Struthio camelus: one gene and its partner. The protein of the gene in region 2 interacts with the protein of the main gene of each other region in a pairwise test. Links are inferred from orthologs where the notes say so. Each region holds a gene or a part of one and is shown on either strand. Other genes may lie near its edges.

Region 1 (7,082 bases), on a different chromosome or scaffold from region 2:
CCGGGGCAGCCCCCATCCCCTCCACCCAGCCCCCACAGGGACCCAGGCGTCCGGGGCAGCCCCCCACTCCCTCCACCCAGCCCCCACGAGGACCCAGGCGTCCGGGGCAGCCCCCCGCCACGGGGACCCAGGTGTCCGGGGCAGCCCCCATCCCCTCCACCCAGCCCCCACGAGGACCCAGGCGTCCGGGGCAGACCCCCATCCCCTCCACCCAGCCCCTGTGGGGACCCGGGCGTCCGGGGCAGCCCCCCATCCCCTCCACCCAGCCCCTGTGGGGACCCGGGCATCTGGGACCCCATCACCCCCCTTGCCCAGCCCTCCCGGGGACCCAGGCGTCCGGGAGGGGACCCAGGCGTCCGGGAGCGTCTCACCTCCAGCTCCTTCTTCTTGGAGAAGAAGACGTTCCTGCGCAGCTGCAGACACGGCTCATCTGGGGGCAGACGGAGTCAGGCGGGGCCCAGGCGTCCGGGGGGCCCCGCGTCTGCCCCCGTGCCCCCTGCAGGGGCCCAGGCGTCCGGGGGGCCCAGGCGTCCGGCTCACCCTGGGCGATGTCGCTGTCGGGGGCGTCGCTGAAGCGCAGCAGCAGCTCCGGCCACTGGCGGCAGAGGCGGAACGGCTGGTGCTTGGGCTTGAGCTGCACCTCTGGGGGCCGGCGTCAGCGGGGGCCCAGGCGTCCGGGCCCGACCCCCGCCCCCCCGAGGGGCCCAGGCGTCCTGACCTGACCCCCACCCCCCGAGGGGCCCAGGCGTCCTGACCTGACCTCCACCCCCCGAGGGACCCAGGCGTCCTGACCGGACCCCCACTCCCCCCCAGGAGGGGCCCAGGCGTCCTGACCTGACCCCCACCCCCCGAGGGGCCCAGGTGTCCTGACCTGACCCCAACCCCCCCCGAGGGGCCCAGGCGTCCTGACCTAACCCCCACCCCCAGAAGGGGCCCAGGCGTCCTGACCTAACCCCCACCCCCATGAGGGGCCCAGGTGTCCAGGCCCGCCCCCCACCCCCCAGGAGGGGCCCAGGCGTCCTGACCTGACCCCCACCCCCCAGGAGGGGCCCAGGCGTCCTGACCTGACCCCCGCCCCCCCGAGGGGCCCAGGTGTCCTGACTTGACCCCCACCCCCCAGGAGGGGCCCAGGCGTCCGGGCCCGACCAACGCCCCCCCGAGGGGCCCAGACGTCCTGACCTGACCCCAACCCCCCCCCAAGAGGGGCCCAGGCGTCCTGACCTGACCCCCACCCCCAGAAGGGGCCCAGGCGTCCTGACCTAACCCCCACCCCCAGGAGGGGCCCAGGTGTCCAGGCCCGCCCCCCACCCCCCATGAGGGGCCCAGGCGTCCTGACCTGACCCCCGCCCCCCCCGAGGGGCCCAGGCGTCCTGACCTAACCCCCACCCCCAGAAGGGGCCCAGGCGTCCTGACCTAACCCCCACCCCCATGAGGGGCCCAGGTGTCCAGGCCCGCCCCCCACCCCCCAGGAGGGGCCCAGGCGTCCTGACCTGACCCCCGCCCCCCAGGAGGGGCCCAGGCGTCCTGACCTGACCCCCGCCCCCCCGAGGGGTCCAGGCGTCCTGACCTAACCCCCACCCCCAGAAGGGGCCCAGGCGTCCTGACCTAACCCCCACCCCCATGAGGGGCCCAGGTGTCCAGGCCCGCCCCCCACCCCCCAGGAGGGGCCCAGGCGTCCTGACCTGACCCCCACCCCCCAGGAGGGGCCCAGGTGTCCTGACTTGACCCCTGCCCCCCCCGAGGGGCCCGGGCGTCCTGACCCCTGCCCCCCCCGAGGGGCCCGGGCGTCCTGAGCCCCAACCACCCCCGAGGGGCCCGGGCGTCCTGGCCGGCCCCGCCCCCCGCGGGCCCGCGGCTCACCGAGCAGGGGCGAGGCGAGCCAGAGCGCCAGGGCCTGGCCGGCGGCCTCGGGCAGGCGCAGGGCGGCGCGCAGGCGCCGCTGCAGCTCGCCGGCCGTCGCCCCGGGCGGGTGCTCCAGCGCCAGCGGCACCGCCGCCCCGTCCGCCAGGAACACCAGCACGTCCGGCCCTGCGGGGGCCCCGGCGTCCGGCTGCGCGGGGCCCGGCCTCCGGGGGCCCCCGCCTCCGGGGGGCCCAGGTGTCCGGGGGGCCCAGCCCGCCCCGCCCGGCCCGCCGCCCGGGCTCCCGCTCCGCCCGGGGCCCAGGTGTCCGAGGGGCCCAGGTGTCCAGGGGGCCCGCTCCGCCCGGGGCCCAGGTGTCCGAGGGGCCCAGGTGTCCAGGGGGCCCGCTCCGCCCGGGGCCCAGGTGTCCAGGGGGCCCAGGTGTCCAGGGGGCCCGCTCCGCCCGGGGCCCAGGTGTCCAGGGGGCCCAGGTGTCCAGGGGGCCCACTCCGCCCGGGGCCCAGGTGTCCGAGGGGCCCAGGTGTCCAGGGGGCCCCGGCATCCGGGGGTCCCGCTCTGTTCATCCCGCTGCCCGGGGCCCCGGTGTCCAGGCTCCCGCTCCGCCCGGGGCCCAGGTGTCCGAGGGGCCCAGGTGTCCGGGGGTGTCCAAGGGGCCCAGGTGTCCGGGGGGCCCGCCCCGCCCGTCCCGCCGCCCGGGCTCCCGCTCCGCCTGGGGCCCAGGTGTCCGGGGGGCCCCGGCGTCCGAGGGGCCCCGGCGTCCAGGCTCCCGCTCCACCTGTCCCACCGCCCCGGCGTCCCCGCTCCGCCCGGGGCCCTGGTGTCCGGGGGGGCCCCGGCGTCCGAGGGACCCAGCTCCGCCCCCACCCCCCGTGAGGGACCCAGGCGTCCTGGTAGCGCCCTCCCCCCCCAGGGCCCCCGCCTGCCCCCAACGGTTCAGGGCCTCCAGGTGCCCCCTCCCCCGGGGGGCCCAGGCGTCCGGGTGCCCCCTCCCCCCGAGGGGCCCAGGCGTCCCGGCCTCTCACCGGTCCCGCTCCCGCGCCGGGCGCCGCCGGGGGGGGCGGGCGGCCCCTCCCCCTCCATGCGCGGGGCCGGGGTCACGCCGGGGTCACGCCGGGGTCACGCCGGGGTCAGGGCGCCCCGGGCTCCGCTCGGCGCCGCCGCCGCCGCCGCCGCGCCGGAAGCGCCGCCGAGGGGGGAGGGGGCGTGGTCCCTCCCGGCCCCGCCCCCCGCAGCCACACGTCATCCACGGCGCCCCGCCCCTTCGCGTCACGTGCCGCCCCCCCCAGCGGCGGTGCTGCCACCTGCCGGCGGGGCGGGCGCGGCACCCGGACGCCTGGGCCCCCCCCAGGCTCCTGGACCCCCCCCCCAGTCTCCTGGGCCCCCCCGGACGCCTGGGCCCCCCCGGATGCCTGGGCCCCCCAGACATCTGGGCCCCCCCCAGTCTCCTGAGCCCCCCCAGACGCCTGGCCCCCCTCCAGTCTTCTAGGCCACCCCCGGACACCTGGGCCCCCCCCCGGTCGCCTGGGCCCCCCAGACACCTGGGCCCCCCGGACGCCTGGGCCCCCACCCCAGTCTCCTGGGCCCCCCCCGGTATCCTGGCCCCCCCAGTCTCCTTCCCCCCCCCCCCCAGTCTCCTGGCCCCCCCCGGCCGCCTGGGCCCCCCCCCGGTCGGCGCAGGAAGAGGCGGAGGCGCGCTACGAAGTTAGAGTCGTGTTTGCGCTGTGCGCGATGGGCGGGGGGGGGCCCGGGGGGGCCCCGGAGTCCCGGAGCGCGGCGGGGGGGGGAAGGCGGGGGGGGTCCTGGGGGGCCCCGGAGTCCGAGAGGGGCCCAGGAGTCCCGGAGTGCAGCGGGGGTCCTGGGGGGCCCCGGAGTCCGAGGGGGCCCAGGAGTCTGAGAGGGGCCCAGGAGTCCCGGAGCGCGGCGGGGGTCCTGGGGGGCCCCGGAGTCCGAGGGGGCCCAGGAGTCTGAGAGGGGCCCAGGAGTCCCGGAGTGCAGCGGGGGTCCTGGGGGGCCCCGGAGTCCGAGAGGGGCCCAGGAGTCCGAGAGGGGCCCAGGAGTCCTGGAGTGCAGCGGGGGTCCTGGGGGGCCCCGGAGTCCGAGGGGGCCCAGGAGTCCGAGGGGGGCCCAGGAGTCCCGGAGCGCGGCGGCGGGCGGGGGGGGAGGGGGGGGCGGACCCCGGTTTCTCGTTTCTTTTATTGTCGTCGTCGGTTTTGTCCGAAATTAAAAAAAACAAACAAACAAAAACCGGCAGCGGAAAACGGGGGGAAACGGGTAAAACCGAACGGAAGAAAAAGAGTAAAAACGGCGCCTCCCCCCCCCCAACGCGGCCCGAGGGGGGGCCCCAACCTGGCGCCATTTTGTGGGGGGGACCCCAACCCGGCGCCATTTTGTGTGTTTGGGGGGGGGGGGCACGACCCCGCATGGCCGGGCGCCATGTTGTGGGGGGGCGACACCCCGTTTCGGGGGCCCCTCGGCGTCCTCGGTCCGGGCGGGGGGCGCTCCGGCCCGGCCGCCATCTCGTGGGGGTCCCCGCAGGGCCGGGGGCCGCCTGGGGAACGGGGGCCCCCCGCCTCAGTCGCCATTTTGTGGCGGGACCCCCCACGCCGGGCGCCATTTTGTGGCGGGACCCCCACACCGGGCGCCATTTTGTGGTGGGACCCTCCCCAGTTGCCATTTTGTGGCAAGACCCCCCACACCAGACACCATTTTGTGGCGGGACCCCCACACCGGGCGCCATTTTGTGGCGGGACCCCCACACTGGGCACCATTTTGTGGCGGGACCCCCCACACCAGATGCCATTTTGTGGTGGGACCCCCACACTGGGTGCCATTTTGTGGTGGGACCCTCCCCAGTTGCCATTTTGTGGCAAGACCCCCCACACCAGACACCATTTTGTGGCGGGACCCCCACACCGGGCGCCATTTTGTGGCGGGACCCCCACACTGGCACCATTTTGTGGCGGGACCCCCACACTGGGCACCATTTTGTGGCGGGACCCCCACACCAGATGCCATTTTGTGGTGGGACCCCCACACTGGGTGCCATTTTGTGGTGGGACCCTCCCCAGTTGCCATTTTGTGGCAAGACCCCCCACACCAGACGCCATTTTGTGGCGGGACCCGCACACCAGACGCCATTTTGTGGCCAGATCCCCACACTGGCACCATTTTGTGGTGGGACCCCCACACTGGGCGCCATTTTGTGGCCAGATCCCCACACTGGGCGCCATTTTGTGGCCAGATCCCCACATCAGACACCATTTTGTGGCCAGATCCCCACACCAGACACCATTTTGCGGCAATACCCCCACGCCAGGCGCCATTTTGTGGCAAGACCCCCCCCTGCGCGGCCGGACGCCGTTGGGTGTGGAGGGGACGCCGCGTCGGTCATCGTTCGGGGAGGGGGGGACCCGCCGCGCCGTCGCTCCGGCTTGGGGACCCCCCCACGTCGGTCACTGTCTCGCGGAGGGCGCCCGCGTCGCCGGGTGCCATGTTGTGATGGGGGCCCACGTCGGGCGCCATTTTGCGGTGAAGGTGGGACCCCCACGTCGGGCGCCATTTTGTGGTGAGGGTGGGACCCCCACGTCCAGCGCCATTTTGTGGTGAGGGTGGGGGAGACCCCCACGTTGGGCGCCATTTTGCGGTGAACGTGAGACCCCCCCACGTCGGACGCCATTTTGCGATGTAGGTGGGACCCCCACGTCGGGCGCCATTTTGTGGTGAGGGTGGGGGAGACCCCCACGTCAGGCGCCATTTTGCGGTGAAGGTGGGACCCCCACGTCGGGCGCCATTTTGTGGTGAGGGTGGGACCCCCACGTCCAGCGCCATTTTGTGATGAGGGTGGGGGAGACCCCCACGTCGGGCGCCATTTTGCGATGTAGGTGGGACCCCCACGTCGGGCGCCATTTTGTGGTGAGGGTGGGGGAGACCCCCACGTCGGGCGCCATTTTGCGGTGAAGGTGGGACCCCCACGTCGGGCGCCATTTTGTGGTGAAACTGGGACCCCCACGTCCAGCGCCATTTTGTGATGAGGGTGGGGGGGACCCCCACGTCGGGCGCCATTTTGCGATGTAGGTGGGACCCCCACGTCGGGCGCCATTTTGCGATGGGGAGGGGGGAGATCCCCCCCCCCGGGGCCGGTCTGCGTTTCGTCGGCCGCCGCGCTGCGAGGAGGGGGCACCAGCGGGGGGGGGCGGGGGCCGTCCCGCGCCGGGGCCGTCGTTTCGGGGCGACCCTCCGCGGCGTCGCTCCGGGGTCGGGGGGGACGACACATCCCACGTCGGTCTTCGCTGGCCTCGGGGTCGGGGTGATGGTGGTGGTGGTTGGGGGGGGGACGTCACCCCGCGTCGCCGCTCCGGGACGGGGGGGCCCCGCTCGGCTCCGGTTTCGGTGTACGGGGGGCCCCCGCTCAGCTCCAGTTTCGGTGTACGGGGGCCCCGCTCGGCTCCAGTTTCGGGGTACAGGGGGCCCCGCTCGGCTCCGGTTTCGGTGTACGGGGGCCCCCCGCTCGGCTCCGGTTTTGGGGAACGGGGGGCCCCGCTCGGCTCCGGTTTTGGGGAACGGGGCCCCCCGCTCAGCTCCAGTTTCGGGGTACAGGGGGCCCCGCTCGGCTCCGGTTTCGGGGTACAGGGCCCCCCGCTCGGCTCCGGTTTTGGTGTACGGGGCCCCCCGCTCGGCTCCAGTTTCGGGGTACAGGGGGCCCCGCTCGGCTCCGGTTTCGGTGTACGGGGGGGCCCTGCTCGGCTCCGGTTTCGGTGTACGGGGCCCCCCGCTCGGCTCCGGTTTTGGGGAACGGGGGCCCCGCTCGGCTCCGGTTTCGGGGGACGGGGGGCCCCACTTGGCTCCAGTTTCGGTGTACGGGGGGACCCCGTGCAGCTCCAGTTTCGGGGTACAGGGGGCCCCGCTCGGCTCCGGTTTCGGTGTACGGGGGCCCCCGCTCGGCTCCGGTTTCGGTGTACGGGGGCCCCGCTCGGCTCCGGTTTCGGGGGATGGGGGGCCCCACTTGGCTCCGGTTTCGGGGTACAGGGGGCCCCCCGCTCGGCTCCGGTTTCGGGGCGCTCACACGTAATACTCCTTGTCCTTGTTTTTCTTCCCCTTGGCAGGCGCCTTGGCCGGGCCGGGCGGCTTCTCCTTGCCGGGGACGGCGGCGGCGGCGGCGGCGATGGCGGCGCCGCGGGACCCCCCTCCCCGAGCGGCGGCGGCGGCGGCGGCGGCGGCGGCG
Region 2 (7,914 bases):
ATTAGTCTATGAAAGTAGCAAAACATATATACACAGATATCAACAACCGTAAAAAAAAAAATCCACATGAGTTAAATGGAAAAATAATCTTGAATATTAACAGAGCTTGGAATAAGTCAAAAGCATGCCTTGCGAACTTAAAGTAGTACAGAATAAAGTTTAACTTCTTAATACAAAAAAAAAGAGAGAGCATTAAGTTAACTAACTTTCTTACCTACCAACATCTAACAAACTTATCCGCAGTTAACACTGGAGTTCCTTATTTGACATCACCCACTAACAAATGGCCTTTAAAAATAAAAACTTGCATACCGTTTGTTTGCTTGGCCAATACTTCTAACATTTTAGTTACCACTAATTTTTCAGAAAATGATATCTTCAGGCGTAAAAACAACTCTGCCTCATCGACACGCCATATCTCGACCCTAAGCTTTCATTTTAACATGTCTAGCCCCCTTTGGGGAAGATAAAGCACCACAAACGCTCCGAGTGTAACAAAAAACCGTTCATATCCTACCCTGCAGGCAACACCCTGCCTTATTGCACTCCCTCGGCTCTTCCTGGCAGGGTAAACTAGATGTGCCTGCCGCGCTCTGCGATATCCCGGCTCATTAAAAACTGCCCTTCCAGGCTGCTTTTACTGCTCTGACCAGACAAGAAGAAGCCTTCCTGCATCCATAAGCACAACGGCGAAACCAAGAAGTCGCAACGCCATCTGAACACAATAACCGTTCTACTGTAAACGCGTAAACTAATGGGCTTCAGGAGGTTAACGGTAGATCTTCTGTTAGTCCAGAGAAGTACGCAATACTAACTTACAATCTCTGTCCATAATTTAAGGAAAACAGAACGTAGCCCTTGCTAAAGAACGATTTCCTTCCTGGTTTTAATGAAAACTTGCTTCCAGACGAAAAGATATCGCTCTGCTTAATTGTAAAAGATAGGAAGCAGGAAAGTGATCCAGCTTCCCCAGTCCCAAATTTCTACTCACTAGTTTTCATCTAGCATTTAAGGGAATTCCTCTGTGTAGCTTTCTACACAGAACAAACCTCTTAATCACTCCAAACGCCACATGGTCTATTTACATTTAGAAGGAAGAATTTGGGAGTAATGCTTACAAGGCTTCACTTTCACTGCACTTTGGACACTTAGCTAGCATGCCATTTCGAACATAAGCTACACTGCCCTGAAACACCCTGGAAAGTATTATTAAGTAAGTTGAGCTGATATGCATGACCTTTAACTACATAAGGATTCTCACCTGATTAGTCAATAGTATTTAGACCACATAGTTCAAAAGCGAAAAAATTTGCATTCATTGCTAAAAACTTGATTCCTTTCTCACACTGATGTGCTCACATAAAACAAGCATCTGTAGGAGCTCAACACTGAGTAATTACACTGCAGTCTTTAAATACTTCCCTTCTTTCAGGTGACCATCCCTGAAAATAATTCAAAATCTACTATTCTTAGAATGTGAAAGCTGCGTATTTAAGTTTTTCCTTTACTTAGAGAAAGTAAGAGAAATTAGTAATCTCAGTTCCAAATTTGATTCCAGTTTTGTGGGTTTGATCTCAGAGTCGGTTTAGGTTTAGACAAGGTTAATAGAGTAGGCAAAGCGATAGGCACATGAGAGCCTGAAACATAGCGTTTGTCCAAAAAGCATTAACCCCCAGAGTAATCACCCGGCACGCGGCACAGACTGAGTCAGAGGTTAATGCTGCCTCCGGCACCGCTCTCAGCCACGCGATCGAAACAGAAGCAAAGGAAGTCTTAATATGTGGTTAAGCGATATAACAGGTAGTTTTAGGGTATCGCAAACTATTGCACTGGTGCTTAACGTCAAAACTTAAGCCAAAGCCATTTTTTGTTAATCAGGACAAATCAGACGCCAGGATGCACTCTCCGTAGACCAATTCACTGGGTTTTTTTGCTTGTTTCTTTGGGGTTCCCCCCCCCACCATGAAGAACAGTTCATTCACTAGCTACTTATAAACCCGGGGTTTTCTGCACGCAGCGCAGGCAAAAGGGAAAACCTGCGGCCAAGATGCCTTAGCTCGAACCGCTCTCGGACAACTTAGGCGCCCCAGGTATTTTAAGCAGACCAGTCGCGTTCCTCTCCAAGAGAGGCAAATTTAACAGCGAAGTAGCAAGTTTCCCGCTGACAGATGCGCCCTCCACGCTTTCACCTGTTTGTCTGTTTTGTTTTTTTAAAGCCACAGCATCCAGAAGGTTTCGGCAGGGCAGCCGCTCTGCTCGCCTGGAAAACGACGAGTAGCTGAAAGTTACCAGGACGCCCGCGCCGCCGCCGCCGCCGCCGCCCTCGCTACCGCGCTCGGCGAGGGCCGCTGCAGCTCGCGCAGGCGGCTCCGCGCACCGCCCGCACACAGCCGCTCCCGCCGGGCGCCCCGGCCCCGCCGCCCGTCACGGCTCCAGGAGCCCCGCGCACTTATGTAACGCCTCGGGGCGGCCGCGGCTCGGGCTGCGCTTCTCCCCCCCCCCGCGCCCCTTGTAAAGACGAACTCGCTTCGGCAACTCTGTCGGCACCTCGGGGGGAAAAAAACAAGCGCCGGCCGCCGCTGCCCTGCCCCACAGCCAGCCCGGCGCGCCGCCGCCGCCCCGCTCCGCCGCGGGCTGCCCGCGCCCTCCCCGCCGCGCCCGGCCGGCACCCCAGCGCCGCCAGCCCGGGCCGAGGCCGCCCACGGGGCTCGGCGGAGCCCGCCGCCGCCGCCGCCGGGGCCGCTCCTTCCCCCGCCAGGCAGCCCCCGGCTCCCAACATGGCCGCGCAAGGGCGGCCGGAGCCCCGGCCGGCAGCGAAGGGGCTCCGCCAGGAAAGTTTTCCTCTCGCTCCCCGCCCGGCCCCGGCCGCCGCGCTCCTCACCCCGCGCCGCCCGGCGCTCGCAGCTCCCTCCGCTCCAGTCGCTGCCGCCTCCCGCCCTCTGCCCACCGCAGCCGCGGTCACACACCCGTCACCGCCACCGCCGCCGCCGCGGAGGGGGGGGGTCGGGCACCGCCCGCGCGGGGCGGGGCCGCCGCCATCTTGGGAGGGGCGAGGCCCAGCGGGAAGGGTCGGGGTGGCGCCTCCGTCCGCTCCGCGCCGCCGCCTCGGCCCCGGCTCCGGCCTGTCCGCGCCGCCTCCTGCTTCCCGGCTTTGGCTCGGGGTTGCTGCGAGCTTCGCAGGGAAGTGACAGCGGAGCGCGGTCGTCGCGGCGTTAACGCGGCGCTGCCTGCTCTCGCCCCGCTGCAGCGGGCGGGACTGCCCTGTGGCAAACGGCCCGAAGCTGTTTTAAGAAAAAGTTTCGCTTAACGTGAAATACAGCAGAGTTTCGTTTTCCACATCTCCCGTTCAGCTGATTTACTGGGCAGTACAGCGGCTGGCTTTTCTGGGGGGGGGGGGGACAAATCCGCTTAGGCAGTGTGGCTTTCCAGGGGTAATAATGAGCCCACTAAAGTTGCTGAGTTTGATTCAGATTCGTAAGGCAGGGTTGTTTGCCTTGATGAAGGTGCAGAGTTAAAAGTGAGCTTGTGGCATTTTTGGCAGTGGCGTTTTTTTAAACGTGACGTCAGGAGGAATTCATATCGCAGCTGGCATGGTCGCGCGGAAAAGGGGGGCCGTGGGGAGCCGTGGGGAGCCCCCGGCCTGGCGCGCTCTGGGGGAGGGCGGCGGGGCGCAGCGCAGCGCCGAGGGGGCCGCGCGTGTGTCCTCCCGCCCGGCACCGGGAGAGCCCGCTGCGCTGGAGCTGCCCATGCCCAGCACACAGCAGTGCCCCCGCTCCTACGGCTGCTTCTCCTCCCAAACCCGCAAGGCCCAGCCCAAGCTGAGCGCTGCCCTAAAGGATTTAACAAATCACGGGAACCGAAGAGCTGTGCTCGGTTTGGGTTGTCACGGTTGTAGCTTCGGGAACAACTGCTTCTGCAGGGAGGTGTGACGAATGGCCGGGACAGATGAGAAGGGCCACTGACACGCATTCGCGCCACAGGGGTCATTCAGATGCAGTCCCAGCTCAGAGAGTGAATTCCCAAGCACGCAGCGGTAAGGAACCCAAATCGCTAATGCGAGTACCAAACCTGACCCCCTTCCATGGATTCCTGATGAAGAATCAACAAACCGTGTCAAGGAGAAAGGCCCCCTGCTGTAGGAGAGCAAATCTCCCACTGAGACAAGAGACCCAGAAGAGCCGCTAGGAGTCTGGGTAGAAAGGAAGTAACAGCTAGGAAACCAAGTGTGCGTGAAAAACTTCTTTTTTATTAATGCTTTTTTTTCCCCTTCTCTCTCCAAACAAATCGTATTGCGGTTGCTTTTCAAACTCTGGTAGAGGGCTGTGTAGTCTGTCCATGACAATTTTCTTTTCTCTAACTTTCCTGCAAATTATGAGACTGCTCTTTTCAGCTCCTACCATTTCCTCACTCCTTTTTGAGTTCTCTTCCAGCTTGCTGAAGTCAAAAACTAGAACTAAATATAAACAGATAAAAAGTTGACAATGCTCAAAACAGACCACTCTGTTCTTCACACTTAACCTAAATGGGTCGTGTCTGAAGTCCGTTTAACTTAGTGCCCTGTCCCCAAGAGTGACCACTGGTGTAGGCTTAGGAAGAAAATACAAAAATAGAACAATTAAATATTTATTTCATGAACTGAGCTTCCAATAGTCTTTTTTTTTTTTTTTTTTGGACAGGTGGGCTTACTGTGCTAGAGGTTGCAATCAAAACTCTATTTGATAGTCACCAAATTTATCCAATTCCTTTTTTTCACCTCCATAACATCATGTGTCATTTGATTTTGTAAAAATTCATTAAAACATAAATTATTATACTGATATTATGTAGTATAATATATAAGCATATTATTATGTTTATAGCATATATAAGTAACCTTTACTAAGTTTTTGCTGCTTTCTATTTCTATGCATTCTGTAGGAGCCAGCACACCTATAGTTCATATTCTTCTGAAACATTATTATGCCTGTTTGCTAACCTTTAATCAATTACTTCTTGGCAAGTCCACTGAAGCCAACTAACCTAGCTAACTAGAGCCAAATTTGAAGTATGGAAATTTACTGTTAATGATTTTTGAAAACCTTGATTCTCTGAGTAGGTTCAGGTCAATGTGTGCGTTAACTTCAGCAGGGACCAGGTGGGGTTAGAGTTTTATTCTCAACATAAGAAAAAAAATGAAATGAAGAAAAAACGCCAAACTTGTTTTCTGATAGATTGCTTCTCTGACATTGTAAACAGAAAGGGATCGCTGTGTTTTAACACAGTATGAATTTCTGACTAGTTTTATTCACCATCTTTGTATTCAAAATGTCTTTAGAACTTGAAGGCAATTTCCAATCAGCCAACAGAAAGCTGAAAAATTCTGTCATCTATGTTATGAGTTTTAGTTTGATGAGAATTCGTCATAATGAGGAAGCCACACATATTGTACATCAAAGGTAATGAAAGAATTTGGCAAAGAGGTAGCCAGAAGGGGCAAGGCCTTTCCCCAAAAATTATGTTTATAACAAAAATTAATACAGACATAGAACAACCTTTCATTCATTTGGCACTTATCCCATTTTAGTTGCAGAAACTCGATTCTCTTGCAAACAGCATTCTTGTCCTCAGTTTTCTACACAGCCAAACTGCCAGCTGACACCCTGAGAAGAAAGGACTCAGAAGCCAAACCAGAAATACCTCTTTGTTTACTACAGAGCAGTGTCTTTTACTGTCCCTGCAAACATTTGTGTTATTTTTAACTTCAGCTCTCACTAAATAATCTGTAATGCCCAATTCTAAACTTCCACTCTTGAACGGAAAAGATGCCCTTCCATCCTTTATTAGAAATTAATCAAAGATATTTTTTAAAAAACATCAGTAGGTCCTAAGTTTTGCAATTTTTGGTTTCCAAGGGTTAGAAAGGCATAGCATTTTTGCAGTTCAGAGCATATTTATGTTACTAAAAGTGTAGACCATAGGATCTGTAAGAACGCAGATCCTGTTAATTTGTCGTGAACCCGGCTTTGTAAAGTGTTCTAGAAAACACTGAAGGAATCAAGTTCCATGTATATATTTCTGAACAAACCATAAGCTGAAATTTGGATTTCCATCCTTAAACTGTCCTATTCTGAGCTATGGCTTAAGAGGAGGAACACCTTTTTGTGTTCACTTTCAACAGCAATGAGCAATAACTCAATTAAGAAAATATGGACGGACAAACCTTTAGGGTGCTTTTACATCTCCTGGCATTAGAAGCCCTTTAGGGTGCTTTTACATCTCCTGGCATTAGAAGCAGGCAAACAGAAGTTATGCTATATTTGAACCCTTCGGGTTTCTTTAAGCAATGATAATAGCATCTGACTGTGGATTGGCAGGAAAACGGTTTCAGACTTCCATTCCTCCAGGAACAGTTTGCATTTAAGCTCTCCAACAGACTGAGGCCTAGATCCAGATCTCAAAGGCACATAAACACCTAATTCCCAGTCTCAGAAGCAGACACCAGAGCTTAGTGCTCTCCTCTTGGAGGGGACAAATACAACGTGAGGGCTGTAGCCTCATGGTCCCTCTCACCTCTTTCCAAATGAATTGTGAATCCTTTGCTGTACAATGGAACAACGCCAGCGGGAAAAGCTGAGCCACACAGAGCTGCCTCTTTACATCCCCAGGAGATGGAGGTTGACGGGAAGCTCTCCTGTGGGTTTGAGGGTGCCACGAGCTAAGAAGGTAGTCAGGGCAGGACCTCTCTGCTTCCCCAAGATGCCCGCAAAGGACCGCAGCCATAGCCTATGAAAAGCCAGTTATGCTGGCACGTCCTGGGCTTGCTGAGCGACTCTCAAGAGGCCTATGTAGGACACTACGTTTCTCGAGCCTACTGGACGGAGCAGTGAAAAAACATCAAGCTACTGCTACCACGATGGCTCTGTACCTGCCCACGGACACAGCTCCAGGCTCCTCCTCAAGACCCTTAAACAGAGGTGTTTGCAAGGCTTGGCGGCCTCTAGTGTTAGGCAGCCGGCTTACCTGCAATGTGATTTTAGAGTTATGGCGCTAAATTCCTCCTCTGCCTCACATTAGTTGATTCTGTCTTTTACTTACACTACAAAAAGCAATATTTGCAAGCAGGCAGGTCTTACGCAGTTTCTGAAGCTGCAGTGCAGACCTCTCACTTCTGAGAATCACATTGTTATTCAGCCCTTCACACATTTCCACCTTTGCTGCAGCCCTCCCATGGAGTATTCTTTTTTTTTTTAGTTAAGGTGAAAATTTCAGGGTGAGCCTGAATATACATCTGGGAATCTCAGAGGTTTGCATAGAGTGAAAACAGCAGCCGACCATTGCTTGGGCTGTTTTGGTTAGATCAGAGACCAGATTTCTAAACCAGAACGTCACGGGCAAACACTTTGGTGAAGAAATGTGGTCTTTTCGACACTGAAGCAGCCCAACGGTTATATCTAAACAGTTTTTCCTTCCTCCTCATTTAATTTTATGCTTATTTAAGCATGACAATCCTAATAGGCATGGATGCCCAACGGGACTGCAATGTTTTGCTCTGCCTGGAGTATCTATAGAAGGTGTGAAATTCTAAAATTTTAGCTTTCATGCTTCAGCCGTAATTGATTATACGCAATAATATACCAAGAAACAGCATCTGGACACACTCTGACAAAACTGGGCATGCCCTCTGAATTTTTAAGAGTGGATTTTTAGTTTTTTTTAGTTTTTTTTTTTTTTAAAGTATAGAGTGAGAGAAGTCTGAACAATCTTGCTACCTTGGTCCCAACATTGTGGCTTAGATGCTCCAGAACACCTTGTGGTTCTGATGTAGGAAGCCATAAGAGATTTATCAGCAAACAACATTTCCCATCCCTATTACAGCCTCTCCCCTGTTGGCACAGGTTAGACGTCAAAGCAGCAGCAGGCAGCAAATACAATGCT

Evidence for each region.
Region 1: the proteins of PLEKHF2 (region 2) and FRMD8 interact in binary tests that used the Homo sapiens proteins (3 or more experiments, as listed by UniProt). The two-hybrid records come from large-scale screens. The link is inferred for Struthio camelus from reciprocal best matches to the Homo sapiens genes PLEKHF2 and FRMD8.

Annotation. Positions count from the first base shown.
Region 1 is NC_090976.1:75,532-82,613, forward strand, and holds the start of FRMD8 (FERM domain-containing protein 8), read right to left. Parts: upstream 3,023-7,082; 5' UTR 2,942-3,022; coding exon 2,884-2,941; intron 2,029-2,883; coding exon 1,861-2,028; intron 643-1,860; coding exon 541-642; intron 431-540; coding exon 372-430; intron 1-371. UniProt on the Homo sapiens protein: Promotes the cell surface stability of iRhom1/RHBDF1 and iRhom2/RHBDF2 and prevents their degradation via the endolysosomal pathway. By acting on iRhoms, involved in ADAM17-mediated shedding of TNF, amphiregulin/AREG, HBEGF and TGFA from the cell surface.
Region 2 is NC_090943.1:148,700,385-148,708,298, forward strand, and holds the start of PLEKHF2 (pleckstrin homology domain-containing family F member 2), read right to left. Parts: upstream 3,011-7,914; 5' UTR 2,967-3,010; exon of another isoform or gene 2,882-2,966; intron 1-2,881. UniProt on the Homo sapiens protein: May play a role in early endosome fusion upstream of RAB5, hence regulating receptor trafficking and fluid-phase transport. Enhances cellular sensitivity to TNF-induced apoptosis.